Linked DNA regions of Cricetulus griseus. The protein of the gene in region 5 binds, or shares a complex with, the protein of the main gene of each other region. Links are inferred from orthologs where the notes say so. Each region holds a gene or a part of one and is shown on either strand. Other genes may lie near its edges. The genes, in order: Med31, Med24, Ccnc, Med13, Med7, Med18 and Med13l.

The links.
Region 1: the proteins of Med7 (region 5) and Med31 are in contact, whole or in part, in a cryo-EM structure (PDB 7EMF), measured with the Homo sapiens proteins. The link is inferred for Cricetulus griseus from reciprocal best matches to the Homo sapiens genes MED7 and MED31. Residues at the interface, in NP_001094286.1 of Homo sapiens: Met15, Gln16, Tyr17, Ile18, Lys19, Tyr21, Thr22, Asn25, Ile26, Lys33, Pro34, Pro35, Pro36, Pro37, Ile38, Lys39, Asp40, Tyr42, Met43, Met44, Phe45, Gly46, Gln48, Gln50, Asp52; in NP_057144.1 of Homo sapiens: Asn14, Arg15, Leu16, Arg17, Phe18, Gln19, Leu20, Glu21, Leu22, Glu23, Phe24, Gln26, Tyr33, Phe36, Leu37, Tyr42, Asp45, Ala47, Phe48, Asn50, Tyr51, Tyr54, Tyr57, Glu62, Tyr63, Lys65, Tyr66, Lys68, Tyr69.
Region 2: Med7 (region 5) and Med24 share a complex: the UniProt entries of both Homo sapiens proteins name them as parts of the mediator complex. The link is inferred for Cricetulus griseus from reciprocal best matches to the Homo sapiens genes MED7 and MED24.
Region 3: Med7 (region 5) and Ccnc share a complex: the UniProt entries of both Homo sapiens proteins name them as parts of the mediator complex. The link is inferred for Cricetulus griseus from reciprocal best matches to the Homo sapiens genes MED7 and CCNC.
Region 4: Med7 (region 5) and Med13 share a complex: the UniProt entries of both Homo sapiens proteins name them as parts of the mediator complex. The link is inferred for Cricetulus griseus from reciprocal best matches to the Homo sapiens genes MED7 and MED13.
Region 6: Med7 (region 5) and Med18 share a complex: the UniProt entries of both Homo sapiens proteins name them as parts of the mediator complex. The link is inferred for Cricetulus griseus from reciprocal best matches to the Homo sapiens genes MED7 and MED18.
Region 7: Med7 (region 5) and Med13l share a complex: the UniProt entries of both Homo sapiens proteins name them as parts of the mediator complex. The link is inferred for Cricetulus griseus from reciprocal best matches to the Homo sapiens genes MED7 and MED13L.

The regions. Positions count from the first base shown.
Region 1 is NC_048600.1:86,054,476-86,058,970, reverse strand, and holds the start of Med31 (mediator of RNA polymerase II transcription subunit 31), read left to right. Parts: upstream 1-1,638; 5' UTR 1,639-1,780; coding exon 1,781-1,808; intron 1,809-2,804; coding exon 2,805-2,882; intron 2,883-3,153; coding exon 3,154-3,250; intron 3,251-4,495. Other genes in the region: uncharacterized protein C17orf100 homolog, read right to left, coding at 1,019-1,420. UniProt on the Homo sapiens protein: Component of the Mediator complex, a coactivator involved in the regulated transcription of nearly all RNA polymerase II-dependent genes.
Region 2 is NC_048600.1:111,788,082-111,792,083, forward strand, and holds the end of Med24 (mediator of RNA polymerase II transcription subunit 24), read right to left. Parts: intron 3,844-4,002; coding exon 3,579-3,843; intron 3,325-3,578; coding exon 3,143-3,324; intron 2,920-3,142; coding exon 2,829-2,919; intron 2,483-2,828; coding exon 2,383-2,482; intron 1,595-2,382; coding exon 1,514-1,594; intron 1,211-1,513; coding exon 945-1,210; 3' UTR 597-944; downstream 1-596. UniProt on the Homo sapiens protein: Component of the Mediator complex, a coactivator involved in the regulated transcription of nearly all RNA polymerase II-dependent genes.
Region 3 is NC_048595.1:119,710,255-119,714,071, forward strand, and holds part of Ccnc (cyclin-C), read right to left. Parts: intron 3,197-3,817; coding exon 3,105-3,196; intron 2,182-3,104; coding exon 2,114-2,181; intron 25-2,113; coding exon 1-24. UniProt on the Homo sapiens protein: Component of the Mediator complex, a coactivator involved in regulated gene transcription of nearly all RNA polymerase II-dependent genes.
Region 4 is NC_048600.1:99,532,668-99,536,484, forward strand, and holds part of Med13 (mediator of RNA polymerase II transcription subunit 13), read right to left. Parts: intron 3,316-3,817; coding exon 3,092-3,315; intron 2,411-3,091; coding exon 2,221-2,410; intron 1,129-2,220; coding exon 672-1,128; intron 1-671. UniProt on the Homo sapiens protein: Component of the Mediator complex, a coactivator involved in the regulated transcription of nearly all RNA polymerase II-dependent genes.
Region 5 is NC_048600.1:60,988,536-60,992,922, reverse strand, and holds the start of Med7 (mediator of RNA polymerase II transcription subunit 7), read right to left. Parts: upstream 3,062-4,387; 5' UTR 2,926-3,061; intron 2,896-2,925; exon of another isoform or gene 2,619-2,895; intron 413-2,618; exon of another isoform or gene 241-412; intron 1-240. UniProt on the Homo sapiens protein: Component of the Mediator complex, a coactivator involved in the regulated transcription of nearly all RNA polymerase II-dependent genes.
Region 6 is NC_048595.1:20,804,371-20,807,193, forward strand, and holds the end of Med18 (mediator of RNA polymerase II transcription subunit 18), read left to right. Parts: intron 1-985; coding exon 986-1,539; 3' UTR 1,540-2,129; downstream 2,130-2,823. UniProt on the Homo sapiens protein: Component of the Mediator complex, a coactivator involved in the regulated transcription of nearly all RNA polymerase II-dependent genes.
Region 7 is NC_048597.1:98,619,991-98,623,807, reverse strand, and holds part of Med13l (mediator of RNA polymerase II transcription subunit 13-like), read right to left. Parts: intron 1,586-3,817; coding exon 648-1,585; intron 1-647. UniProt on the Homo sapiens protein: Component of the Mediator complex, a coactivator involved in the regulated transcription of nearly all RNA polymerase II-dependent genes.

The DNA.
Region 1 (4,495 bases), about 25 Mb from region 5:
TATCTCTCTCTCTCTCTCTCTCATTACTATACTCTCATATTCTAACTGGTCTTTCTGTTCCATAAACATCTTCAGTTTGTTCCCACTAACTTTTTATGCTGGCTTTTCCTCCTATCTAGAACGCACTCCCCTCCAGTTCCTGGTATGGCTCACTGTTCACCCACACAATTAGCAAGGCTCTTCCTGACGGTATTCTCTAGAGAAACTTCCCTGTTCTCTACCAGATACCTTTTCCTTCACATGAGCACAAGAGACCTTAGCTTTCCCCTTTGTTTCTGCCTCTTCACTACAGGGAGATCTTAGTCTTCTCCACTGTTATCGCTGACATGCTCTGACTAGTACCTAGCACACAGTAGGTACTCAGTAACCATCCTCTGTCAGCCTCACCCTTCAGGTCAGGTGCCAATGGCTTTCTTTTCACTTTCCCTTCTTAGCATATTTTTTATTAATTGACTTGCCTTTTTTTCCCCAACACCCCCTGACCTATTTAAAAAATAATAAAAGCCTGTATGTGGAGTACTGTGTATAAAAACTTAACATAGGAAAGCTTATTATGAAATACAAATAAAGGTCAATTAATAATCCATGAAAGATGATTCTTTGTTCTATTGGTTTCAAGCACTATATAATCAAGCCAGTGGTCATGAATTCATGACAAGTTTGGTCCTTCTTCGCAAATTTCAAGTGGTCAAACCATTCTAGAGGGACCTCAGGCTACGAAACTTACCTGGTGCAGAGACTCAAAGAGCCTCTTTGTCCATCATCAGCCGAGTATATACGCACCGCAAGTCTGAAGCCCTTCTGTGCTGGCTTCGAGTTAAATAGTACACTGGGTCAACAGCAGGGTGGTCTAAGGTGATGCAATCTCAATACATGTTGGCAGCACCCAGAAACCACAGCCTGTTTCTTACATTGATTTACAGGCTGTTTCCATGAAACCAAAGATGCTTGGCTCTCCTGGAAGCTGGCTGGCTGGCAAATGGAAACACTTCAGTGCTGGCTAAGGGCCATGGCCACTTCATCGGGTCATTTTGGCACTCTGGCGAGCTGTTTGCTTGTCCCTCCTGGCTGGGCTCTCTACACGGTGCACAGTCGTCTCCACCCGCAGGGATGACGACGCCCTGACGTGGCTGGAGGACGTCTCCGTGCACTGCGAGGAGGTTTCCACGTGCTGGGAGGATACCTCGAGGAATCTAGGGAGTCGCTTCGCGGAGGAGGTCAGGGAGGGTCCCTCTCGGTGGCGCTGAGAGGTCTCCACCTGACGAGAAGACGTTCGAACCTGCCGGGAGGACGTCTCCACGCGGTGGGATGACGTTTCCTCGCGGTGGGACGACGTCTCCACGCGGATAGTCGACGTTTCCTTTTGGCGGGTGCTTTCCACTCGCGGGGCGAAGGATTTACTCCTAAGGGGCGAGGCCATCCTGCTGGCACACCCAGGTCAGAAGGGACACAGAGGCCCAAGACTCATGCTCTGTGTCACGTCACACAAGGGACGGTGACGTCAGGGTGATGAGCTACGTCAGTGTAGGCTGCTGCGGGCCACATAGGATCTGCGAGCAACGAGCTCTTCCAGCACGCGCCGCTAGATAATTGCTCAGGCTGCCGGCCCAGACCACACAGATAGGCGGGGCCTCTCTCCTCAGAAGGAGGCTGTCTCCGCCCTCGCGTCCCACATGCCCCGCGACCGGAAATAAGAGCCGTGGCTTCCGGATCCTCCCTCACCATTTGAAGCCGCGGTTGGGTCGGGCTGGTTGTGTTCGCGTCTCTCTCCTCTCTGGTTATGGCCGCGGCCGTCGCTATGGAGACAGGTTCGTGGTGTCGTGCTCCTGGAGTCTTCACCGAGGGAACGGGTCCTCCCCCCTTCTCTCCGGTTTCCCCGCGCCGTCTTTCGGGCTTAACCCGGCATCCTTAAGGAGTTGGGATCGGTGGGGGAGAAGGCGGTGTTGTCTCTGATTGTGGCCTGTGTGAACGACATCTTTGCTCCTGGGCTGCTCACACCTCCACTCCCTGGCTCGCGGGCCGGGGTGGGACTGAGGGAGAGGACCGAGCCCTTCAATTGTCTGCTCTATGGAGCTTTTCCCGTGAACTTGCTTGAAATGTTTGTAACGTGTATGGTTCTGATACGGATTACCGTCTCCTCCCCGCTGTTTAATCATTTTGCATCTTGCTTCCTGCTTTTATTTAGCACTTTGTTTTTGTTTAACTTAATCACTGTTAGTAGTTGTGGTTGTAACGCTAACATTGGGGGTGGCACAGCTATTACAGACCAACCAGTGATCTCTGTTACCATCCTCCCATAGTGGCCTTAAATAGCCGTTTCGTTTATTTTTCTCAACTAACTTTAGGTAATTTATTATCTTTGTTTTGTTTTGAAGACAGGGTCTCACTATGTACTACTGCCTAGCCTGGAACTGGCTATGTATACCAGGCTGGCCTGGAATTCACAGAGATCCTCCTGCCTCCCCCTTACAAGAACTGGGATTAAAGGCATGCACCACTCGGCTTGTTTTGTTTTAAACCAGGCTCCACTCTGAGATTTCTAAGGAAATCTCTCCTGCAGTTTGGTATTTGTTTCATAAATTCATTCCTATGGGGGTGGGCGGTGCATGCCGAGGTCAGAGGACAACTTGCAGGAGTCTACTGTTCCTGCAACCCTGCGGGTTCCAGGGATGGAGCTCAGGTCATCAGACTTTTCTGTGAGCACCTTTACATGCTGAGCAGTCTCACTGGCAGTTTGTTTTTGTTTCTACAAATCATTGGTATCGTGACTTTTATTTTGGGTGTCTTTTACTTTTTTCTCCTAGATGATGCTGGAAATCGACTTCGGTTTCAGTTGGAGTTGGAATTTGTGCAATGTTTAGCCAACCCAAATTACCTTAATTGTAAGTCGAGTACATCATTAAGTTGAGTAGCTAGCTGTTAATGATTTCTGACAGAAGAGATGGAATTCATAATAGTATTTACTTCGGTATGTTTGAATGGGATTTTACTTTCGATGGTCTGTAGTTATTAACTGAGCAAACAAGGACTTGTGTTTTTTAATTCCTTGTGTTTTGATGGTAGGAATGTTAAAAGAGCTACTTTATTGTAGCGATTACAAGTCAGTAGTCCAGCAGTTGGTTGACATACAGATTGTTTCTTTATGCCTTTCAGTTCTTGCCCAAAGAGGTTACTTCAAAGACAAAGCTTTTGTAAATTATCTTAAGTACTTGCTTTACTGGAAAGAACCAGAATATGCCAAGTATCTAAAGTAAGTTTAATTTTTATAATCTTAAATCTGTGTATACTTTATTATAAATACGAAGTGCTTATATTTAGCAGTTTTCTCGGTGTCAGAATGGCAAACTATGTTTTGAATTTTTCTGCTTTTAGTTCATGTCATGTCATTGTCATTTCTAATTTGAATTGTTACAGTAATCTCACTTATTTCTGCTGTCATTCTTACCTCACTCCCTTCAAACCAAACAAAGCCAAACAGTTGTCTGTCAAAACCAATTTACTGTCTTAGTAGTATAAATCAGAACATGCCACTTCTATTCATGTAGGATAAAATCCAGTAACTAGTTTTAGAGTAAGACTCTGATTTGATTTGGTCTGTCTGAACTTGTCATTTAGCATTCCCCTTGTCTCTCTGGGTTTCTAATGCCTTCCAACCTATAAACTACTAAAATGTAGTGGTATAGCCATAAGCTGAAAATGAACATATAAGAAGTGGTGTTTTCTGGGAGTCTTAGACTTACTGTCTTCTTTATAGTTTCCTATGTGTCAAGTACTGTGCTAAATGTATCGTGCACATTAACTCACTGTAAACAAAAGAAAGACAAACATGAACACTGTCAAGTTGTTTGATAGACAATTGTGAGAAACATCACAACTACACAGCTATCCCTTTGAATGGTAAAACAAAACCTTGAACTCACCCCTCTGCTTTGTCTTAATTAAAAAAGAAAAACAAGCTGGTACACACCTTTAATCCCAGCATTTGAGAGGTAGAGGTGGAGGTGGATAGATCTCTGAGTTCAAGGCCAGCCTGGTGTACAAAGCTACTTCCAGGACAGCTAGGGCTACACAGGTAAACCCTGTCTTGAACTCCCCCTCCCCTAAAAGGGTGGACAACAACAACAACAACAAACCCAGAAATTTTAGCCTGATGCCCCTTTAATCCCTGCTCTCAGGAAGATCCGGCAGATCCCGGTGAGTTTTAGGCCAGCTTAGTTATGTAGCAAGTTTCAGGCCAGTCAAGGCTACATAGACCCTATCTTAAAAATTAGAGGGAAACATTTCAAGCCTTTTCTTTATATCCTAGTCACTTTTCTGAATTGATCCTGGACTGCCTGTAGAACAGATTGCACCGGATTTGCTCTTTATGATGCAATTATTGATTCCTTTAGGAATCTGAAGGAGAGACTTTTAAGTTATTAGGCTGTTATAACAGTGCTAGCAGATTTACAGACTGGGTATTAAAAGCCTTAGTCACCTTCAATTCAAGTTCAGT
Region 2 (4,002 bases), about 51 Mb from region 5:
GATCAGAACTCAAGTTCTGCCTTGGCTGGCTTTCCCTTAATGAGCTCTATCTCCTTGCTATCATCCTTGGGAGCACTTCCCTGCTTGGCTCCGCTCCTGAGCTGAAGATGTCTGCAAGGGTGGGATGTGGCCATGAAGAGCACTTGCAGTTGAAAGTCAGCTGCAGGCTCCCTGTGGGTCAGAGCTGCCCAACCAGGCCAACCTAGGCACCGTCCTCCACAGCCCTCCATACCACTGGCTTCTCAAAGCCCCCTTGACAATTTCCCTTCCCACAGCCTCACAGATCCATGTCCCTGGACCTGTAGAGTGTGGAGAACAGAGTCCTCATCCTCATCCCTCCAACAATCTTCTGGAACACACAGTGAACTCTGGGCCAGAGGGTGGAGTGTGACTAAAGAGCAAGCCATCCTGCCCTGCACAGCACAGTACAGGGCTTTCACAGACCTTTCCACTTTCAGTGGGGGCCTGTGAAAAACGAGCCTGGCCTTCCACACCTCCTCCCCCACCACAGGACTGTGCCCTTCCCTGGCCACAGCACAAGAGACTTGCAGGGAAAAGATACTGTCCCCAGTCATCCAGCAAAGCTACCAACAGCATTCAATAGCTACAAGGATCTTTATTTACAAACAAAGCAAGAGGGACTCCCCCTCCTGAGTTATAAAAATAAACTTATATATACACTGTGGCCCTATAAAGTCCCTCCTTGGAGTTCAGCTACTGCAAGAATTGGGGCAACCATCGGGACCACTCGCAGTCTTTGGGTACTGGTGGAAAGGACAGAAAACCACAGAAGGAACAGGCATAGTAAGTAGAGGGCAGGAGTGGGTGAGGGCCTCAGACTGGAGAAGCATCCTTGCACCACTGGATGGGGCAGCCTGGGCTCATCCTCACTCCCCCTGCTGGGATGCTGGGGCTGGGACCCCGTCCAGGCTACTCCAAGCTCCTCAGAGTGCAGCGATGGCTTTGGCAGCCACTTGCCGACCGAGGGGCAGGGTGAGGTCTGTGATGGCCAGCACTACCTTGGGGCTGGACATGGCAGACACCTTTACTAGTTCCGACACAGTGGCAAAGGGCATGAACTGCAGAATGCTGCCCCTGCTGTCCTGCTCCAGGCAGTCGACACACTCCTCCATGAACCACTGCACAAACTGGGTGTGGGGGCCGGCGGTGCGGGAGCCCAGGATGGAGGAAATGAGCAGGAACAGGTTGGCTGTGCAGAAGGGAACAAGACAGCAGAGCTCTAGAACAAGTCAGACGAGAAAGAAGGGGACCGAGGAGGGAAAGGAAGAGGCAGTGAGAGCTCACATAGGAAGGCCAGGGAGGGAAGGTGGGGCGGGGGATGGGGGATGGAGTAAAGGGAGGCTGTTAGCGGTGGTAAGGGAACAGGACAGCACATGGAAGCGGAACAGGATGTCAGGGCCCAGAGGATCCCTCTGGCAGGCGTGGCCCTGCCTCTGACGAGGAGGGGCCCGTGTAGCTCAGTCTGCAGGTAGGCACGGCTGGGAGGACTCACCCAGGACTCTGTTCAGAGGGTCCCTCATGTTGACTGTGTGGAGTTGGGAAGCCGAGAGGGAGCTGTTCATGGAACGGTCAGCTGTGGAGTGGCAGAGAGGGTGCTGCGTAAGCTCTGACTCTAGGGGAGCCTTACCTGTCCCCTGCCATCAGGGGAGTCTGGCACGTACGGGGCACAGAAGAGCCTGAATCTGGAGAGTAGATGAGTGGGAACAAGCCTCTGCGCACCAACCGAGGCTAACCCTGGCACTCTGTGTGGCTGAAGCCACCTGTCCCACTCAAAGCCCATTTTACAGACGTACAATCTGTTTGCTTAGAGCCTGGCTAAGGTCAGAGGTGGTCTGCCAGCAGCTTTCTTTCACACAAGGCTGTGGCTGTGGCCTGGTCCCTTATAAGGCTACAGAGAAAACTTCTAGGCTCAGAAGAGATCTCTGGAAACAGGAAACTTGGATGCCACACAAAAAAACTTTTGGCAGAAGGAAAGGATGACATGGGCTGCCCTCTGGATAGGAAGGCAGGAGTGCAGCCCCAGGTCGCAACCTGACAGGGCCTGTTCTCAGCCACAGGGCATGTCTCTGGGTTAGAAGGATGGCAGAGTGAGTGAGTGAATGGTACAAGCTGTACCAAGGTAGTGAACTCACTGGGTGTCTTGTCATCTTTCAACTGGTGACAAGAGAGGGATAACTGTGGGACTGGGAGGGCCCCTGGAGGAGAACTTCAGGTCCCCACCAGCAGGCAGCAGAGCATCCACTAGGGACAGACGTGGAAGCTGCTGCCACACCACACTGGCTGACAGCCATCAGCTGGGAGCCAAGGCAGGTCCTTAGGGACAAATGGTCCTAGCAAGCCCGTGACCTCCCAAGTGCTCACTGGGACTCGACAGAATGTTGGCATCATCCTCATTGGTGCTCAGGAGTCGCATCAGCTTCGAAGGCTGCATGTCTTCCACGGGGAAGAGGCTGATATAGTCCTGGGGGCAGGAGTCACTGTCACACACCCAACCTCCCAAGTCTCCAAGGACTGGAGAGGGCTGGAGGTGAGATCTGAGTGGAGAGGAGTGAGTTTCCTAGTCCCTGGCCAGCATCCCCAGTGGTGGCCCTTCCCACACTCCAATCTCTGCCCTAGTGGGCAGAAAGGACCCTCATCAAGGATACTCAGGGGCCACTCAAGCCACTCCCCCAGACCCTGACCAATCAAAAAGGCCCACACACAGGGGACCTCAACCCCACCCCCACCCTGGGAAGGCAGCTCTCTGCTCTAAGTGATCAGGAAGCATCTCATGAATAAACACACAACCAAGGCGGTGGCAGACCTACCTCAATGTCTTCCCTGTGTCTCTTCTTGTGGCGGGAAGCTGCCTGTCCCTTTTGAGAGGAATAAGAACTCAGGGCGCACCACACAGCTAGTCTGGTGAAGGGTTCCAAGAAAAAAGAATAGTTAAGAGAGTCCCAAAAGAGGCTATGTGTGCTCATGCTGAACAAGCCCCTCCCACCCACCACCACTCAGCGGGCCCCCCAACCACAGCCTGGCTTCCTGAGCTGGCACCAGGGCTGGGGTGCCTGAATCTGGGTGGTAGATTCTTGGGACTCAAGGGGAGCAGACACCAGGAAGGCTCTGGAGAGAATCCTACTTGGCTAGTGCAGTGCCAGGAGGGTCCATGAGGCTGTGCCACTTGGAGGAGTCAGTAAGCAGACCGGGCAGGATGTGGCCCAGCAAGACCAGGGTCACCTGCGGCAAGTCCAGGCAGAAGATGGAGTAGAGTAGCTGTACTGCCCTCAGTGTGTGTTCCTTGCGAGTCTCCTTCAGCAGCTCCTGGGCAGTGGGCAAGCAGCGGCTAAGGCACTGCACACCTGGGCCCTAGGGCTCTCATGCTCCAGCCACTCTACAGTCAAAGGTGCTATCCAACTCCAACCGAAGGTGCTTCTCTGAGGTGAGGTCCCTACCTCTGTCTCCCCCGGAGACCACCCAGCTTCCAGCAACCTCCCAAAGAAGCCTGGCCTACCCCAACTGAGGACACCCATGGCCCCAATCTACATAGCTGTCCACATCCACCCTGGCCCCAGTACCTTAATCAGGTTGTTGCAGAACCAGTAGACGCCGCCCATGCGCAGCAGGGTGTCTAGGATATGGATGGAGCGGCTGTCCACCCAGCCCCTCTCCAGCACCTTGGCAAAGATGTCTGTCAGTACCTCCTTGATGGGGCGCTTGGGAGGAAGCAGGTTCCAGTAGGGCATTGTGTCCACGCCCGTGGATGGAAACTTGATCTGTGTTGCTGTCTGCTGAAGCACGTCCGCACACATGTGTTCCAAGATTGAGTTCATAATCACCACTCTGGGGGCAAGGAGGATACATGCAGGCATTACCCCTGGAATTAGGTTACGGAAACGTGGCTGGGGAATTAGACCCACTGCACACTAGGGGAGGACACGATACAACCACTACTGACAAGGAGCTTACGTGCTCCGCATGAAGCCTAGAAAGGCACAGGGC
Region 3 (3,817 bases), on a different chromosome or scaffold from region 5:
CAACACAGGCTACATGTAGACAAGCTAAAAAGAAAATTAGAAACAATTGTTCAAATTTAACAGCAAACAGTCTTAGAACTAAAGATTTTCATAAAGATTTTATCTTATTTTCCAGTACTATTTTTTTAAAATATAGCTTCATGTTGAGATTACACACATACACATAAACACACACACCATTTTGTGTATCAACATTTAATAGATCGTTTACCAACTTAATGATACAGAAAAAAAAATCTCTAGCTGTAGTGTGGTTCTTCACTGTATACTGGTCACAGTGTGGGTAGCTCAAGGCAGATTTCGGGGGAAATCAGCAATGTTAATCATGCAGGGGTTGTCTCCTCAAAGGAGGAAATAAAATACCTGCTTTCCATCCAGAAAGTAGGGGTGGATATTATTAACAACCTGTTGACCTTTTGCTATCTATAGAGGCAGACCTCACCCAAATAACCCAGGATGTCTATCCCAGACTTTCCCTCCCTAGACCTATATCTTTAGCTCTCAATTAATGGAACCCATCCTTAAGGGATATAACCTAAATTTTAAAAAGCTAAATTTCACTTAAGCATTTTTGACCTTTGCAATACAGTCACGTTTGGTTAGACAAGCTTTTAAGATGGTCTTGTAGGCTGGAGAGGTGGCTCAGAGGTTAAGAGCACTGGCTGCTCTTCCAGGGTCCTGAGTTCAGTTCCCAGCAATGACATGGTGGCTCACAACCATCTATAGTGGGATCTGATGCCCTCTTCTGGCACACAGTAACATGCAGATAAAGCACTCCTATCCATAAAATAAATAAATCTTGCTGGGTGGTAGTTGCAAATGCCTTTAATCCCAGCAGAGGCAGGCGGATCTCTGTGAGTTCAAGGTCAGCCTGGTCTACAAATCGAATTCTGGGCTGGAGAGATGGCTCAGGGGTTAAGAGCACTGACTGTTCTTACCAGAGGTCCTGAGTTTAATTCCCAGCAACCACATGGTGGCTCACAACCATCTGTAATGGGATCTGGTGCCCTCTTCTGGCCTGCACTATATATATGATAAATAAATAAATCTTAAAAAAAAAAAAAAATCGAATTCCAGGACAGCCAGGGCTGTTACACAGAGAAACCCTGTCTCAAAAAATCAAAATAAATAAATAGATAAAATAATTTTTGCTAATTCAAAATACCACCAAGTCCAGTGCTTCACAAGAGTCACCAGTGCTGCAGAAGTATTCAGTTCAGCCCATGTGTGACCTGTACTACTCGTTTTTTGTTTTTTTTTTTTTTAAAGGTTTTATTTATTTAAGAGTATACAACATTCTGCTTCCATGTATATCTGCACATCAGAAGAGGGCACCTTATAAGGGATGGTTGGAAGAGCAGTTGGTGCTCTTAACCTCTGAGCCATCTCTCCAGCCCAGACCTGTACTACTCTTACTACTAAGAAAGGAGCCAGAAAAATCAACAGGAGAAGAAAAAAGGAGCAGGAACTATGAAGTGCCTAGGATGTAACAGACATTTGGTGCTCTATAGGTTGTTTCACTTAACTCTTGAAACAATTCTTTATGAAATTATTATCCATCCCACAACTTTATAAGCTCAGAAAAATTACATAATTGTTTCTACAACTGTACAGAAAGCAATGTCTCAATTTGGTCTGCTTAACTCTAGCCCATCCCTGCGTGCCTTCTCCACCCCATGGGATGCCAGCTAACTTCTAGTGACAGCAGCACAGGTGCTTCTTAAGCTCTTGAGGTTTTACTGGATCCGGAAATGGAAGTCAGAACCAGTTACTTAAGACAACTAATATCAGCAGATTTACACCCAAATTTTCCCCTTTAAGCAAACAAAAATGATGTTTAGGTACTGATTAAAATGTTTTAAATGAATTAAGGGGGGAAAACTATCAAAAAAGGGACTGAGGATTAGCAATGTATAGGGGGAAAATTATCAAAAAAAGGGACTAAGGATCAGCAATGCTAATCTGTTAATAGTACTTATTACTGAAAGCTCACATTCAAGGATTAGTCTACCACTTGATAAAAACATAAATTACAATCAGGCGAAATGTATTTTAGGATGACCTAAATAGGCAAAAACAGTTTAACCAATAAAGGCACTCCAAATTTACATACCTAAAGCTATCATGAAAGGAGGATACAGCAGACAAAGATCCGTCCTGTAGGTATCATTCACTATTCTCCTGTGGAAATGTAAATCTTATCATTACTAACAGCACAACTACTTCATTGACCATGTAACTTCTCCCAGAGAGAGCCAGATTTCCATCTTTGTGCATTTACATCCCTGTTCTACTACCGAGAAGAGTCATAAAGATGAAAACACAGAGGCCAAACAATGGATGCCTGAATGTGACAACAAAGATTCATGTATCAGTGAGCATATTTTTGATGTTGGTACCTCACAACAAATTATATAAAATAAATTTTTCATATTTTTGAAAAATAAAAAATAAAATTAAGAAGCCATTATTTGAAATGGATTTGTATTGAATCCAATCAAAAAGTACTATTTTAAGAATAAATTCTGGGTGGTGGTGGTGCACGCCTTTAATCCCAGCACTCGGGAGGCAGAGGCTGGTGGATCTCTGGGAGTTCGAGGCCAGTCTGGTCTCCACAGTGAGTTCCAGGCCAGCCTCCAAAGCTACAGAGAAACTCTGTCTTTGTAAGAATAAATTCATTGTTAATTTTCATGTGAGGTCTTATTTTTCATATGAAACATTAACAGATATACTTATCAAACAGGTAATTCAAGATATATATGACTTTATAACCTTATACCACTATAGTTATTAAAATTTTTTTGTTTTTTACTTTTTGTTTTTTCGAGACAGGGTTTCTTGGTGGCTTTGGAGGCTGTCCTGGAACTAGCTCTTGTAGACCAGGTTGGTCTCTAACTCATAGAGATCTTCCTGCCTCTGCCTCCCGAGTGCTGGGATTAAAGGTGTGCGCCACCACCACACAGCCTAGTAATTAAAATTTAACAAGCAAATATTTGCTGAATATAAAATATCTTGGGGCACTTTAAAATACTAAACCACATATTTAGTTGTCAACCCTCCTGTCTAGCAACAGGTTTCATATGAGTAACTTCTGTTCTAGTTACCATGCAAGGGGAAGCAACACGTCTTCTTGGCCCATGTCCTGCACATACTGGAGCAAAGGTCTATAAGGATGATACACTATCAAGCAACAATCCTAGAAACAGTTTAAAAACATATATGTATAAGAGCAGATTTATTACAACATAAAACAATACCATTTCCAACTAATTGTATTTAAAATTAATTTCTCTATCTCATACTTGCTTCTTCCTTCTTATTCTTTTGCTCACATATGACCTGAGCTACTGTGATAGTGAAGGAAATGCTCTCTCTGGAATATACCTTGGTAAATCAGTAGGCAGCCAGTCAACATCCACTCTTGCCCTCAGAGACTCAAAGTGTCACACCTGCAACACACTGACACCTCTCACTAGACTATAAAGCCATAGTCCCAACGGAGGAGCAGAATTCTGCCAAAGACATAATCTGTCTTTAGTTCTGTGTGTGTGCACGCACACACAAATTGCACACAGTTTGCAGTGGTTTAACTTCCTGGCTTATTTGCTTGTAATCCTGATTATAGCTATAATAAAATTTTAAAAAATTTCCAGAGCCCAAGTAAGATATACAAATTATTTTACAGGCATCAGAAGGAAAAATAGGTGATAATGCTACTATAGTTCTATGATTTTGCCATCACATATCATTTAGATAAATTTAAAATTTATCTCCCTTCAGAACAATTCATTAAGTTTTACTGTATTATGGAAAAATA
Region 4 (3,817 bases), about 39 Mb from region 5:
GGCTGAGCTACAATGCAGTGGTAGACTGCTTGCCTACTATATGTAAGGCCCAGGGTGAGGTACCAACAACACACACACACTGAAGCAAGCTCCAACTGCTTAAGCATTTGTGCAGTGTATATAAAAAACTACATTTGCTTACGGCACAGGCCAGGCTCAAGCATAGGGATATGTGGAATTATGTTTTTTAAGATCTTAACACCAACCCTGTGATTCTATGATAAAGACTTTTAAAACAATCTTTATTATAATTTTATACATAAAATACTTAACATGATTGAACTAAATTCCACAATAAGAACAAGAAGCACTTTATATTCATTTATGACTGTCTTAAGATTAAAAAAAAGGGGGGGCAGGCATTGGTGGCACACACCTTTAGTACCAGCACTCAGGAGGCAGAGGCAGGAGGATCTCTTTGAGTTCAAGACCAACCTGATCTCCAGAGCAAGTGCCAGGATAGGCTCCAAAGCTACACAGAGAAACCCTGTCTGGAAAAACCAAAACAAACAAACAAAAGATACAAAGAGACACCATAGATTCTGAATTTCCACAAACTTAAATTTGCTTTTATCTTTTCATACACTGTCCACAGGCTTCAAGCAGGCTAAACCCATGCTACTTACTGCTCAACTATCTCTCAACCCCAAGCATCAGTATCTTAAAAATACCTTTCTGACACATCAGGATGTGGCTGAGTGGGAAGCGAGGCTGACTCGCCTGACATTCCTGCTGCCTGCAGAGATGATGACTGCTGTCCTCCCAGCTGGCCACTCTGAACTGTACTTGTTTGTGCAGACATGGATCCTGAACCACTAGTGTTCATACTGCCAAAGGGTGGAAATGAAGGCAGTTTATTTGATGACACTCCACTACTCATATTGGAAGATGATGAAGATGAAGTTGTGGTCAAAGTTGAATTAGCTGTGGCAACTGAAGTAGATATGGCAACACCTGAAGTCATTGTCATAGTGCTACTTGCCGCAGATGCTAAGGTGGCAGATGGAGTATTAGCGTTTCCAGTATTTGTCATCTGAGGTGCAGTAAGCAAAGACTGATTTGTAGGGGCAACTAAATTTGGCTGGGAGAGCAGAGAGCTGTCCAACGGCTGAGAAGCAAGATATGGACCTAAAGAACAAAAAACGGGTATTTAATTCTTGGTTTCACTGACTTATTTTTATTCTACTAAAGAAATAACAATTTAGTTGATACTTTCATGGCAATTATCTTCCCTTAACTGTTTTACTAACAGTGTAGCATGTAATAGCTTTCTATTTTCTCCCAGAAACTAAAGAAACAAGTTTAAAATGGAACTATAAAAGTAAACCTGCATTTTCATTCAAATTTAAGATAATCAATATGAAAATGTAAGAAAATTTTATTTCCTGGGCAAAATTAGATGTAAACAAAGGCTGACAAGATGGCTCAGTGATTAAGTTAATCCCCAGGAAGCACATGGTAGAAAGAGAACCAACGCTGCAAGTAGCTTTCTGACTTCCACTGATTCAGGTGCATATACCCAACATACTCCAGTAAATGTTAATAAAAAAATCAGAACACATCAACAAGCGTGACAGCAGTATGTAACAATTTTTCATCAAATCACTGCAAGTGTTATTAAGTATTATTTCTTCACAAAGTGAAGAAATACTGTCCAAACTGACAGCTAACTAAAATATAAAATGGAGGAATAGTACCATGAAGCTCAATTTACAAAAATGTCTAAGTTCAGTAATTTGGTATTACATCTCTTTGGATAAATGTAAAAAAGTTCACTGGTATTTAAAAGTACAAAAAGGTTTTAAATAACAGTCATTCTCTTAGCCACAATAAGACTTTTTCTGGAGTTGCATAGTTGACTTAGAAATTACATGCATCTGAATTATTAACAAATCGTAGATCTTGAAGTGCGTAAAACATCAGATCCCACAGAAGTAGCAGAAAATATTTTGGAATCCATAATGTCTACTTGAGAGGATGCCCACATACGAAGCAAACGGAATTTCTATGTGGACAGTCAGACAGTACATATTTAACTTTGAAACCACAGCCTTTGCCACATCTACTCAGTTCTGACTTTACAGGACAAAAGCAGGCAGAGACAGCGTGTTTGAAAAATGGAGATGGCTACATGACACTAGGATATTATTTACAAAAATAGATGATGAACCAAGCCACAATGCTCACACTACTCTTGTAGAATGAATACAAATTTATTACCTAAATCATATCTGCAGACTTGTGCATAAAGCTTGAGCTTAGAAAATGCTTCATTGTTACCATCAGCTGCCTGAGAAAACCATTCTGTTACAAACTTTTCTGAAAGCTTCTTTGATGCAGTAGCTCCCACTTTCATGATCCCATCCGTCAACAGTCGAGAAATAGGTCTGTGTTGGCCCAATCGACAGGACTACAAATACATATATAAAAGGTAGACTCAGGGAATCTATTATACTATTAGGGTACAGATATTAAATTAAAAACTCAATCTATTTAAAACAAGCTTTATTACTTATAATTAACAACTGAGTCAAAACACCATGGGTAAGTATGCAGACACTGGTCATCTTCCTTTAGGAATTTCAAGCTGCTGCTTTGCACTCCCCTCCCCTGCCCCCTGCCCCCAACCCACACACACACAGCTCAGGTAGCCCAAGCTGGTCTCAAACTTTCTATGTAGTTAAGGATGACCAAGAATTTCTGATCTTCCTGCCTTCATCTCCCGAATGCTGGAATTATAAGCATATACCACCATCCCTAGTAATACGGTTTTTCCAAGATATGGTATTCACTGTGAAGGCCAGACTGGCCTGGAGACTTTCCGGTTTCAACTACCTCAGTACAAGAGTTACAGATATGCACCACCACACCCAACATACCAAGGGTTACTTTAAATATAACACATATGCCCTCGATGGGTCCCTCCTATACTATGTTTTCCACTGTGACCCAAGGCACACATACCTAACAGAGACTAGCAAAAATGTGGAAGAGTATAGTTTCCTAGTAAGACAACTGACAAAAATCAGCATTTTTCATCAGCCAGTAGAATTCCCCAGTATAATTTAAACATAAATTATAAAATACCTACCTCATATATTGCAGTAAGATCTCTAAAAAAGCTTTTGGCTCCATTTAACAACGCTTCATTCTCTGGACAGAGTACAACATAGGCTATATCTCTTTGAGATCCATATGGTTCCAGCATAAGTTTCTCCCAGTAAGGGAGAGCAAATGGAGAAAGCACCAGAAAATCGTAATCATAACCCAACAAAAACGTGGGAATTGGCAGTGGTTCTGGAGATTCGTCAGTTCCTAATAAAGAAGGAAATTAGGAAAAAGCCAGTTCATGTCATCTTTATTTCCAAAGCTAATAAATAGATTATTAGGAAAATATTAAAGACAGAAACATATAAAGCTAGCAATGACATATTTTCAGAATTAAAAATATCCTTAGGTGCTCATTTTAAAACATTTCCTGCTATTTTGTTTAGGGCAATCTTGTTCTATAAACAGTCAGATCGAACTTGCAGCAAGCCTCCTTCCCTTGGCCTGTTAAATGCTGGGATTATAGGCACAAGTCATCACACTTGTCATTAATTAATTTAAAAGTAAACTTATTTATAATTAATATGATGAATAATTTGTTTACCATAAAGACTTACGAGAAAAATCATAAGATATACTATGTAACATTGTATACATGTCAACTATACTATATTTTATTTCTTAAAACTTGGTTAAAACAGTAAATCAAGTTAAATCTTCTTAACAAAGAAAATGACAAATTACCTTATTTTAAAATGAATAAAAGACA
Region 5 (4,387 bases):
TAGAAAGGCACACCATTCCAGCAGAAGGCAGGTACCCATAATTACAGTAATGGCATTGAAAAAAATAAAAACAAACAAAAAACCTTTCTGAGCACAAAAGACACTAGCACTTGTTAATTTCTCAAAGATAAACCCATACAAAGCATCCTGAAAATAAAGGGGTGTGGTGGGAGGAAGAGGCTCTTATGACATCTGTCACTGTATCATGAAGCTTCACTGCTGAGGAAAAAAATTACCAACCAATGACCAGGGCAGCCTGGACAACATCAACTTCAATGTTCAGAAGTACACTGTGAATTCAGACCATATTATCTTTAAGCTTCCTGCTGGTAAGTATGCCTTGAAAATTGAGAACTTGTTGGCCAGTCAAGACACAAGGTGTGCTAATTTCACCCTAAAGGAACAGGTGACCCTGGCAAAGGAAAAGAAAAATAAAGCAAAGCTATGGCTTCGTGCAATGAAGATAACTGTGATGAGAGCCATGAAACAATCTCTAGCATCTAAATATACACCCAAGTCGAGGTATGCAGACTCTATGAAGGAAATTCTGAGAACATGAAGCAGTGTCACTTGGAAATCTTACAATTATTTGAATCCCTTAAAGTCCCTGTCACCTGCTAAAGGACACTTTTGTCTGCCAGACTTCATGTGACTATGAAGTAAGGACACCTGTTCTGCTTGGTGAGGAAAGAGGGACGCTAGGGTTAAGGACTCATGTGTTCTATGTAAGCTGACAAATGGAAGCATAGGAAGTGGGAAGCAGCCAGTCAAGTCCACTAAAGGTTTGGCAGATAACTTTACTTACTGTTCTTTTTAAACATTTTTTTTTGTTGTTATTTTGAAAAAGGACCTCAACTGTCATAGATGTGGTGGTTCACACTATAGAAGCCAAGACAGCTATGAGTTCAAGGCCAGTTTGGGCTACACATTGATTTTTGAGTCAGCCTGTGCTAAAAATACCTTTAAAAACTATTTTTAAAGTATATGAAGTTGGGAGTGAGATATGGTGATGGTCTGCATGGTATTAGAGGGGAAGGAGAGGGCATGATCAAAACACATTGTGTATAAAATTCTCAAAGAACAAAATACATATTCTAAAAACTAAGAGAAAAGGGTCCATGTCTGGGATGATTTTGTATGGCACATGATATATTATTTGTCATGTCTGATTTTTGTTTTTGTTTTTTTGTTTTTTGGGTTTTTTTTGGGGGGGTGGATAGGCCTATGTTGGAACCCACACTGGAAAAAAGAACACTTATACACACAAATATCACGTGCCTTTTTACTACTCTTTCCCACAGTGAAACTACCTATGGTGTTTATCAATCTCATATCACAATCACTTTTGCTTTCTATTATGTACTGGTTTCCAAAACCAAACACTTAAAGACTCTAAACATTTTGACAAAAACAACAAAAAAAGCATTGTTAAATTTCAAACTTCTATTATTATCCAGGCTTTGTGAAGGAAGCCCCATCTTGAGAGGGCCGGGCGTTGGTGGCAGACGCCTTTAATCCCAGCACTCGGGAGGCAAAGGCAGGCGGATCTCTGTGAGTTCAAGGCCAGCCTGGTCTCCAGAGCGAGTGCCAGGATAGGCTCCAAAGCTACACAGAGAAACCCTGTCCCGAAAAACCAAAGAGTACGGTCTTATTAACACATTAGCATTTTATATATTTCCAAATAATAAAAAAAACTGCAACACACATGGTCAAAATAACCTCTCCTATTCCAATTTGAATTATATAGTGTATTATCCATTGATAAGTGTACATCCAGTGAGGAGACTCCTGAGTGCTTTTTCACACTTGATCTGAGTTTCAAGACGCACCATCCATCTACCAACATCAACTGGGGCAAGTAACATACCGGTTCAGTACCAGTTCCTTGGAATATGTTAAATCTGAGGGCAGCCACTTCAAAGTCTTCAGCTTTCCAACTGTTTGGGCACCTCACCCACCCACCCACCCACCCTGACACCTTTTCCCCTAAGTACTTCAGTATATACCTAAAACACGAATGTTCTCCTGCAACCACAGCCTAATTTCACCCACTGAGGGCTTTTGAAATTGAGGTTCTGTGCTTCCCTTCCCCACGCCCACACTAAACCCGCAGTTTCCCAAAGGCTTCCAGTAAGTGACTGGCACCGGCTATTTACACCGTCATTTCTTCTTCACAACGACACAACTATTCCCAATTCGATTTTAGAAACAAGAAGCCAATTCCCAACGTGGAGCATTAGATCAAAAGACTGGCAAACGGTACAACGGGACTTCTCACTCTGGGTTTTTTGTTTGTTTCCGCTCCCAAGTACAAATCCCCGAACTCCACTAAGTAGCGAGGCTTCCCGCGGAACAGCCTGCCCCAGGACAGGATCCGCCCATCACCGGTTTAAACAGAACTTTTCAAAGCCGCTGGAGGTCGTAATTTTGTAACACTAGCAAAACTCACACTTAGTAGTGTTTGCTTTTGCAGGGAAAGCGTCGCAAGCTCAGAGACCTGCTTCACTTTGTGCCCTGTAAACTGGGACCCCTTGAAAGTCTGGTAAATGGGGAATCCAGATCCGCTCGTGGGCCCCCGCCCCAGCCCCAGCGCTCCCAGGTGGCTCTTCTCATTTTACCAATGGCGACGGGGGACAGTCTTGGCTAAGGCCACGATAGTTTAAAAGTCGTCGAAGTGGGGACAAGAACTCGGGCCTCCCAACCTCCAGTCCGGCTCGTCTCGCACGTGGGAAGCCCGGAGAGGGAGCACTCGGCTCACCTTCGGCCTCCGGCAAGCTCCGCTGAGCGACGTGGGGGGAAAGGCGAGCCCGGGCTTCCCAGGATGCCCCGCGCCGGCCCGGCGGCGCTCCACGCCCGGAGAGAAGCAGCCACGGGGGCGGAGAAAGAGGATCAGGCTGCGGTTGCCAACCGCAGCCGCGGACTCACCTCAGCGCTTGCTTTTCCGGTAGCGACTTTTCCTCAGCGCAGCAGAAGCACAAGTTCCGGTTGCCTTCTCAGGAAGAAGCCTCTGACGCTGGTCTTTAATTGGCTACCAAGGCTGTCCTAGAACAGGTTTTACTCCCGCCCTGAAGGTATTGCGCGTGCGCACTTCTGCATCTCCCGCTTCTCCTGGGGTTGTCTCAGGCATCTCCTCCTTCCCCTCCCCCCTCCCGCCGCGCCCCTGAGTAACCTAGGTCGAGTCTGGAGAGTACCTCTTCTTCGTTCATTTTGTCAGTAAAAGAAAATACTATCTAATAATTCTATTCCTCGCCACCTCCACTTTTAAATGAGACTCTTGGAATTAAAAACGAATCCACTTGCCTTATTTAAAAATCAGAAAATACGGATAAGCAATATATTAAAATATTCTATCAATGTTAACCTCACCATCAAAAATGTTTTTAATATAAGATTATACTCCGTGATATACATAAGTGTATATAAATATTTGCAAATATATGGTATACTTCTGAACATGATTAAGAATAAAATCCTAAACATCCAGTTTCCCCCTCCACTTTTATTTTCATTTAGGAATTCAAAGACGTCTATTACAATTCTTACACAAATTGACAAGTGAAAAAAATTAGTTTGGTGTAATTTTTTTTTTTAACGGAGGGAGGGAGCAATTTCACTGTGTAGCCCAGCCCTCAGGAGAGTTCAGAAATTCGCTATCAGTCCCAGCAAGAAAACTTTCGGTTTAAGGTTTTGTTTTCAGTATTTGTTTTTTTCCACAAGAATTGTTAACAAATGTCCAAGTTCTTGGGAGTCTTAAGGGTGCACACTGCAATCTAAAAGATAAGAATGTTCTGGTAAAACAGCTCTGCTTCACAAACAAGATCCTCCCAGTTTCTTTCTTTAAATATGTGGGGAATTGCAGGCATAAAAGTGAAGTGCAGTCTACTCACCGCCAACTTCAACAGTTACATGCTCAGCATCATTTCATCTTTAGTCCTGTATGCAGCGCTAAAAGGTAAGGGCTCTTTATTTCTTCATATACCCATAGAATTATAATCTCACTGAAAGTATATTGGGGTCATTAAAGGAACAAAACTGATAGAATGAATATGTATGCATGTATGGTTTACTAGAGTGTCTCCAAGGATCCAGTCCAAATATCCCAACACTGGCTGTCTCATGCATGGAAGGCTGAGAACCCTGTAGTTGCTCAGTACAAGAGGCTGGACATCTCAGAAGCTCTCATCTGGCACTGGAGGCCTGGAGGATTTCTGGAAAGCTGCTGGTCTTCAATCTATGTAAGAATCCCAAAGAAATTCAGTTCCAGTACTGGCAAAGGAATGAGGGAACAAGAAAATGAATGAAGTTGCCGGTGAGAGTGAGGGCAAGCAACAAAATCACAGTTTGCTGTTTTCTTGTCCTTTGTCCTTCTTACCTGGGCAGCTACAAG
Region 6 (2,823 bases), on a different chromosome or scaffold from region 5:
ATGTATGGCTAATAAAAATAATACTGTTTTGTTGTTATTTGCCACTAAGCCAGGACCCGAGCCTCACAGCCTCCCCTCTTGGCTTTTGGTTCTGGTGATCAAGCCCAAGGCCTTGCATTCCAAGCACATGCTCTACCATTGATTGACAGCCAGCTGCAATTATTTATTTCCAGCTAATGAAATTCTACTTATGGAACAAATTCAAATTTTCCTTTTCATATAATTGTACTTAAGAACAAGAAGACAGGCATGGTTTTGTATGCCTTTAATCCCATCACTCCAGAGGCAGACACAGGTGGATCCCCAAATTCAAGGCTAGCCTGGTCTACAGAGCAAGTTCCAGGATAGCCTGGACTATACAGAGAAATCTTGTCTCAAAAAATAAAGAAAACTGGCTATGGGCTCACAAGACAGCTTAATTTGTAAGGTTATGTCTTAGTTTCTGTTCTGTTTCTTGGCACCATGACAAGGCAACATTTACAAAAGAAAGCATTTATTATTGCAGGCTTGCTTACAGTTTCAGAGGTTTAGGATCATTATGGTGAGGAGCATGGAAGCTAGCAGGCAGGTAGGTGCTGGAGCAATAGCCCTGAGCTACAGCCTGATCCACTGGTAGAGAGAAAGACACTGGGGCTGGCGTGGGCTTTTGAAAACTCAACCCACTCCTGGTGTTGTAACTCCTTCCAATAAGCACATGCCTTCTAATTTTTCCGTAAACATTCTGTTGCCTGGGGACTAGACCTTCAAATGTAAGAGCCTATGGGAGCATTCTTACTCCAACCACCACGGGGTACTTGCTTTGAAGCCTGATAGCCTGAGATCAATCTATGAGAACCACATAGCAGAGGTAGAGAACCAGTAGAATCCCATGGATGGTTCACATGAAACAATGCATAGAATTATTATTTATTGGTGTGTGTTTATCTTCTGCTAGTTTCATGACTTTGCATGAAATCCAGGACTCATTGTCTTTTTACCTCTTCAGGGAGTGTTTTAGACCACAGTTTGGAAAGTCTCATCCATCGCCTTCGTGGTTTGTGTGACAACATGGAGCCTGAGACTTTCCTTGATCACGAGATGGTATTCCTTCTTAAGGGCCAGCAGGCCAGTCCATTTGTTCTAAGGGCCCGACGCTCCATGGACAGGGCAGGGGCACCGTGGCACCTGCGCTACCTGGGACAGCCAGAAATGGGAGACAAGAACCGTCACGCCTTGGTTCGCAACTGTGTGGACATTGCCACATCTGAGAACCTCACAGACTTCTTGATGGAAATGGGCTTCCGCATGGACCATGAGTTTGTAGCCAAAGGACACTTGTTCCGGAAGGGCATCATGAAGATTGTGGTGTACAAGATTTTCCGAATCCTGGTCCCAGGGAACACAGACAGCACAGAGGCCCTGTCTCTCTCCTATCTTGTGGAATTGAGTGTTGTTGCACCAGCTGGGCAGGACATGGTCTCTGATGACATGAGGAATTTTGCGGAGCAGCTCAAACCTCTGGTTCACCTGGAAAAAATAGACCCCAAAAGGCTTATGTGATTAAGAAGGTCTGTCCATCTTTGAGGTCTGTCCTCACCTGATAGGCAGAAAGATCTCCCAAGTGCCCTGGTTCACTGCTGCCAGTCAGGCCGACTCCCTTCCGGAAAACTTAAGTGGTGAGAATATGTTTCCTTTGGACCATTTCCTTTATATAGTAATTTCATCTTTTGTGTTTGTTTGTTTCTTGGTGGCAGGGTCTTACCCTGGCTCACCTGGAACTCACTCCGTAACTAGCCAGTAACGCAGAGCCCGTCTGCCTAATTACCCACATTAAGGCTCTCCTTACGAAGCCGGCTGTTTGATCTCCTTGACAGTCTTCTCCCATTAAAAGCCCAGGATAACATGGAGATTTGACCAAGTCCTCCCTCTGCTCAAAGAGAGGGAACTGGAATAAATTAGCTTTTCAGAGGAAAATGTCAAAAAACAACTCTGATGATTGTTTTGCCTTTTCATTGTTTTTATATATATATTATTTATTTATTTTTTGTTTTCATGTTTTTGTTTATCTTACTTTGTCATTTGTATATAAGATGTGTAACAGTGTTGTGAGCTGGCATTGTATGGTAATAAAGACGGGAAAGAAATTTCGATTCTGATCCTTATTCTTACTATTATTATTACTTCTTAACTATTTACTATTGTTATATTACCCTTTTACTATTATTGTTGTTGTGTATGTGTGTGGGCACACCTGTGGAGGGCCAGAGTCCTCTCCAGGACCACATATAGAAGGAGAGAACCGACTGCTGCAAGTTGTCACCCTCTATCTCCATGTGAAGTCATATAGTTTTTGTTCTTTTAATTTTTTGTTTTTCTTCTGAGGGAAACTTTCAGTCCTTTTTCTTTTCTTTATTTTTTTATTTTATTTTATTTTTTGGTTTTTGGAGACAGAGTTTCTCTGTGTAGCATTGGCTGTCTGGAACTCGCTCTATAGACCAGGCTGGCCTCGAGCTCACAAAGATGCCCTGCCTCTGCCTCCTGGGTGCTGGGACCAAAGGCGGGCGCCACCACTTCCAGGCTTTTCTACTTTTTTAGAAGTCTTACTCGGGATCCTACAAACAACCCTAGTGAGGCTTGGCTCATCTACTTTATATTGTAACTTTATATTACATTTATTTATTTAGGACTTAACGTGTGCACACGTGGAGTCAGAGGACAGCTGCCAGCAGCTGGTCTGCACTTTGATCATGTGGGGCCTGAGTGTGGAACTCAGGGTGTCAGACTTGGCGCCGGCAGCACCTTTATCCACTTCTCCTTTCTGGACAAGTTCTCTCGCTGAGCCTG
Region 7 (3,817 bases), on a different chromosome or scaffold from region 5:
CATTTTATGTCCCATGTGTCTGTTAGAGTAGAGGGGATCTACAGACCCCAATTTCAAAACATGCTTTTCAACTGGAAGTAGTTCTCCCTTCTGCAGCAGTACTAGGGACTGAACTGTAGGCTTCTACCACTAAGCTAGACTATGGGGCAATTGGCACTTTTAAATAGCACAATGCCCTGGGATGTGCCCCAGTAACTGCAATAAAGTCAGATGTGGTCACTGTCCCAAGAGATGCATCACACTGAGAAACCAGAAGGAGAAAGTACTCAGGATATGTGTGGCCAGTTTCAAGGAAGAAGCACCATGGCAATGCATCCAGAAGGATGATTGGGTATCAGGAGGCAGGTACGCTGACCATCAGTTTCATATAGGGGGCCATGTTGATACTCAGCAGCCACAAGCTGCCACCATGCACTGCCTGTTTGTGATTTAATGTAACAGATAAGTTTCAGGAGGTAATCGCTTCTCTCCAAAACCTCCAGCAGAAGACATCCCCACCCCTCCAATGTAAAAGAAATCAGCATACCCCTCACTTCCAGACCTATAAGTTTAAATCTTGCATTTTTGTGATGTAGTAAAGAAAGCTTTTAAGTTATCATTTGCACCAAGATAACTTCTGATGCAAATTTGCATTCTGGAATACCTACCATTGCTGTGAGGCCAACAGTGTACGGTGGCACTTCTCACCAGAGCCTCATCCACTTTCCCGCCTGTGGGGTTATCCACATACTGCCTCCCCTGCTCCAAGGCATTGAAGCACTCTGTCCAGTAATCATTGTTATCTGCTTGCACCCGGTCATAAGTCCAGCTCACGCAGGGGAGTGCATGTCGACTGTTTGAGGAGATGTAATCCAGAAAGCTGAGAGAAGCAAAGGGCTGTGTGTGTTGATTTTGGAGGAGGAGGAGAAGGCTTATGGGGGGTTCTGGGGATTTCCGGGCTCCCTCCATCTGAGGAAGAAAGGTGGACTGACACATCATTAAGCGCCTCTCTGCAGCTTGGCCAATATCAGAATTCTTCCCAAAAATATCCAATTCATCTTCAAGGAAGAGCCCTGAATTGTAACCAAGTTTACGGTTCATGATCGCACTAAACCCACAGGTGCATCGGTACTGGTCCTCCTTGGAGGAATCGGGGATGTACAGCCCAACATCTGCCCCTTTGATGTTCATGTTGCAGGCGCAGATGCAACAGCTGTCAAAGTTCCTGTCCTTGAAGACATTCATCACGGAATCTGACAGAATCAGGGTGACATAGAGACTGTGGGCCTCAGGAATTGGCTGCATGGTGGCAGGCTCCACAGAGTTAAGGGGTCTCGTAGTAGAGGGGGTAGAGGCTGGTGACCCCTGGTCGGTGCTGTCATATTTCACAGACCCTTGGCCACTAGCAGTGCCCCCACCTCTGGGAGTTCTTGGAGTCCTAGGAGTTCGTGGTGTGGGGACAGAGAATCGAGGGGTAGCTGGAGATGGGAGGACTCCGGCCCCACTGTTGCTGGCAGGGGCAGTGCTGTTCAGCGTTACAGGTGTGTTCATCTGTGGTGTGTTCAGATAGTCTGGATCTGCGAGGCTCCCAACACTAGGCACATTACTGCAACAGACACAAGGTAGTGGTGAGGAAGGGGAGCAGCCACAGAAGCCATGCCCTGCACTGAGCATCTAGATGTGCAATTTTCTCTTCAAAAACAACAGAAAAAGGAGGGAGAGAGGGGAGGGGAGGGGAGTGGCAGAAGCAAGAGCATGAGAAAGGAACACACACACACACACAGAGAGAGAGAGAGAGAGAGAGAGAGAGAGAGAGAGAGAGAGAGAGAGAGAGAGAGAGAGAGAGAGAGAGAGAGAGAGAGAGTACTTTCTTTCCACATAATCCACACTAGACAATCCTCATCCTGATCTGCTGAGGGACTTCCAGTCTTCTAAGAGAAAATGTGAAAGTGGGCATGGAGAAGTTGTGTGAAGTGCTGTAACTACTAACAGCTCACAGGAGTGCAGGCTAGATTGGCTGGAATGCTGCACAGTGGTGTTTGCATAGACTCTGCAACTTCGCCTTTGCCATTTTTTGAAACCAAGAGTCTGCCTGTGCACTTTTCTATGGTGCTATCATTATACAATGATACTGAATTAGCTGTAACCAAATCACATTCAAATGTGGTGCTTTTCTAAGTGGAAGAAGGTAGCACGAGCCAGACTTGCATGATCCCAGTACTGTGTGGCTACTGTGCCCATCTCTCTGTTCTGCACAGGGTTTGGTGTTATTCAGCAGTTACTGGGAAAGATGCACCGACTCTGGTCTCCAGAAACAGAGATTTCCTGGGTTCTCTTTCAGTCTCCTTCATCTTTCAATGTTACGTATTACTTACAATCACTCTCATTCCCATGGTAGACAGGGCTGTTTTATCTCATAAGCCGTGGCTTGGGGAGAGCAGCTGGGCAGAAAACAAGACCATGTCTGTAGCATTTGGATGTTCTTCCACTATAGAACACATCCTCAACCATTCCCACAGACCCAGAGACAGTATACAAGCCCAATCTACACTTGCAAGCCATCAGAGACAGCAAGTTTTTCAGTCCTAACGACTCTTTTGGAAACATGATCCCAGTGCTTTCACTGATGCTCCTTGGTGAGCTACACATTCATTCCCTTACACAGTCATTTCCCTGTAATCTTTCAGAACTTATACCACTGGCCCAGGTATCTAACCTGGCAGTATGTAAACCCTGACATACAGGGCTATCTTGGGTACAGACAAAAGCTGACTTGGAGATTGAACAGTGCAATAGATAACCATCTGCGCACTCATCAGGCTCCTTTAAAGTTTTCCTGCCAACAAGACTCTAAAATAATTCTGCAGGTTTGGATCAAAAAAGGAACCATGACCTGCTAACTGAAAATCTGAATAATTCCATTGTTATCTAGATAGCAAATACTTCATCTTACTTAGCAGCGTCATTTTTCCCTGTACATTAAGATGGACTGAAAACCAACCCTATGTGAAAAGTGGGACAGTCAGCAGAGAAAAATTAAAATTGCCATGACATACAGCAAATCTGAAGCAAATGTCAACAAGTGTACTGACTGTAAAAAATGAGCCCAGCATGGTGGACACTGGAGAGCACAGCAGGAACTGACAGTGTAGAGCCATGCTGCTCAGTAATGCAACTCCTAGATCCCAGTGCTAGATCTGAATGAAGCAGAACAAATAACCCAGTAGCCACATGTTAAGTGGCCAAGGCTGGCCCGCAGTCATACCATTAGACTGTGTGGATAAAAAGCACCTCCCTTGCAGCACTGCCAGTCTAGTCTTTGGCCAAAGAAGACAAATGCAGTGGGTGGGAATGATGACCCAGAGTGAAAACTACCAGAGCCTGTCCTGGGAACCTGTGAGTAGAGGCAAATTTAAAGTGCTGAGTGGCTCCTGATGTCATGAATGGCCACCAGGGCCCAAGCATGCCCAGGGTGTCTGGTGCTGGTGCTCCAGGCCTCATTTGAGGTTGGCAGCAACCCAAGCCAGACACTCACAGGGCAGCTTCATAGTTCTCTCCCCTCTGCAGTCCACAGGCATTAGCTGCTAGAGCTTTTCCAAAGTTCTGGGTAGAGTCACAGCAGAATAATCTCATTTTAAAGAGTGGAAGATCCAGGTACAGGAGTCCTTTAAGTACACACACAGACTTTTCAGAAGGTAGGACTGTCATAGAGCACAATGGCTCTGGCTTCCAGCAGGTCCAGAGTCTTTCTGTCACATTTCCACCCAGTTCCTCATTCTGGCACTGACTACAAAAACTGCTGGGGTCTGTCACTGAGTTAGGGCTGGGGCATACAGCT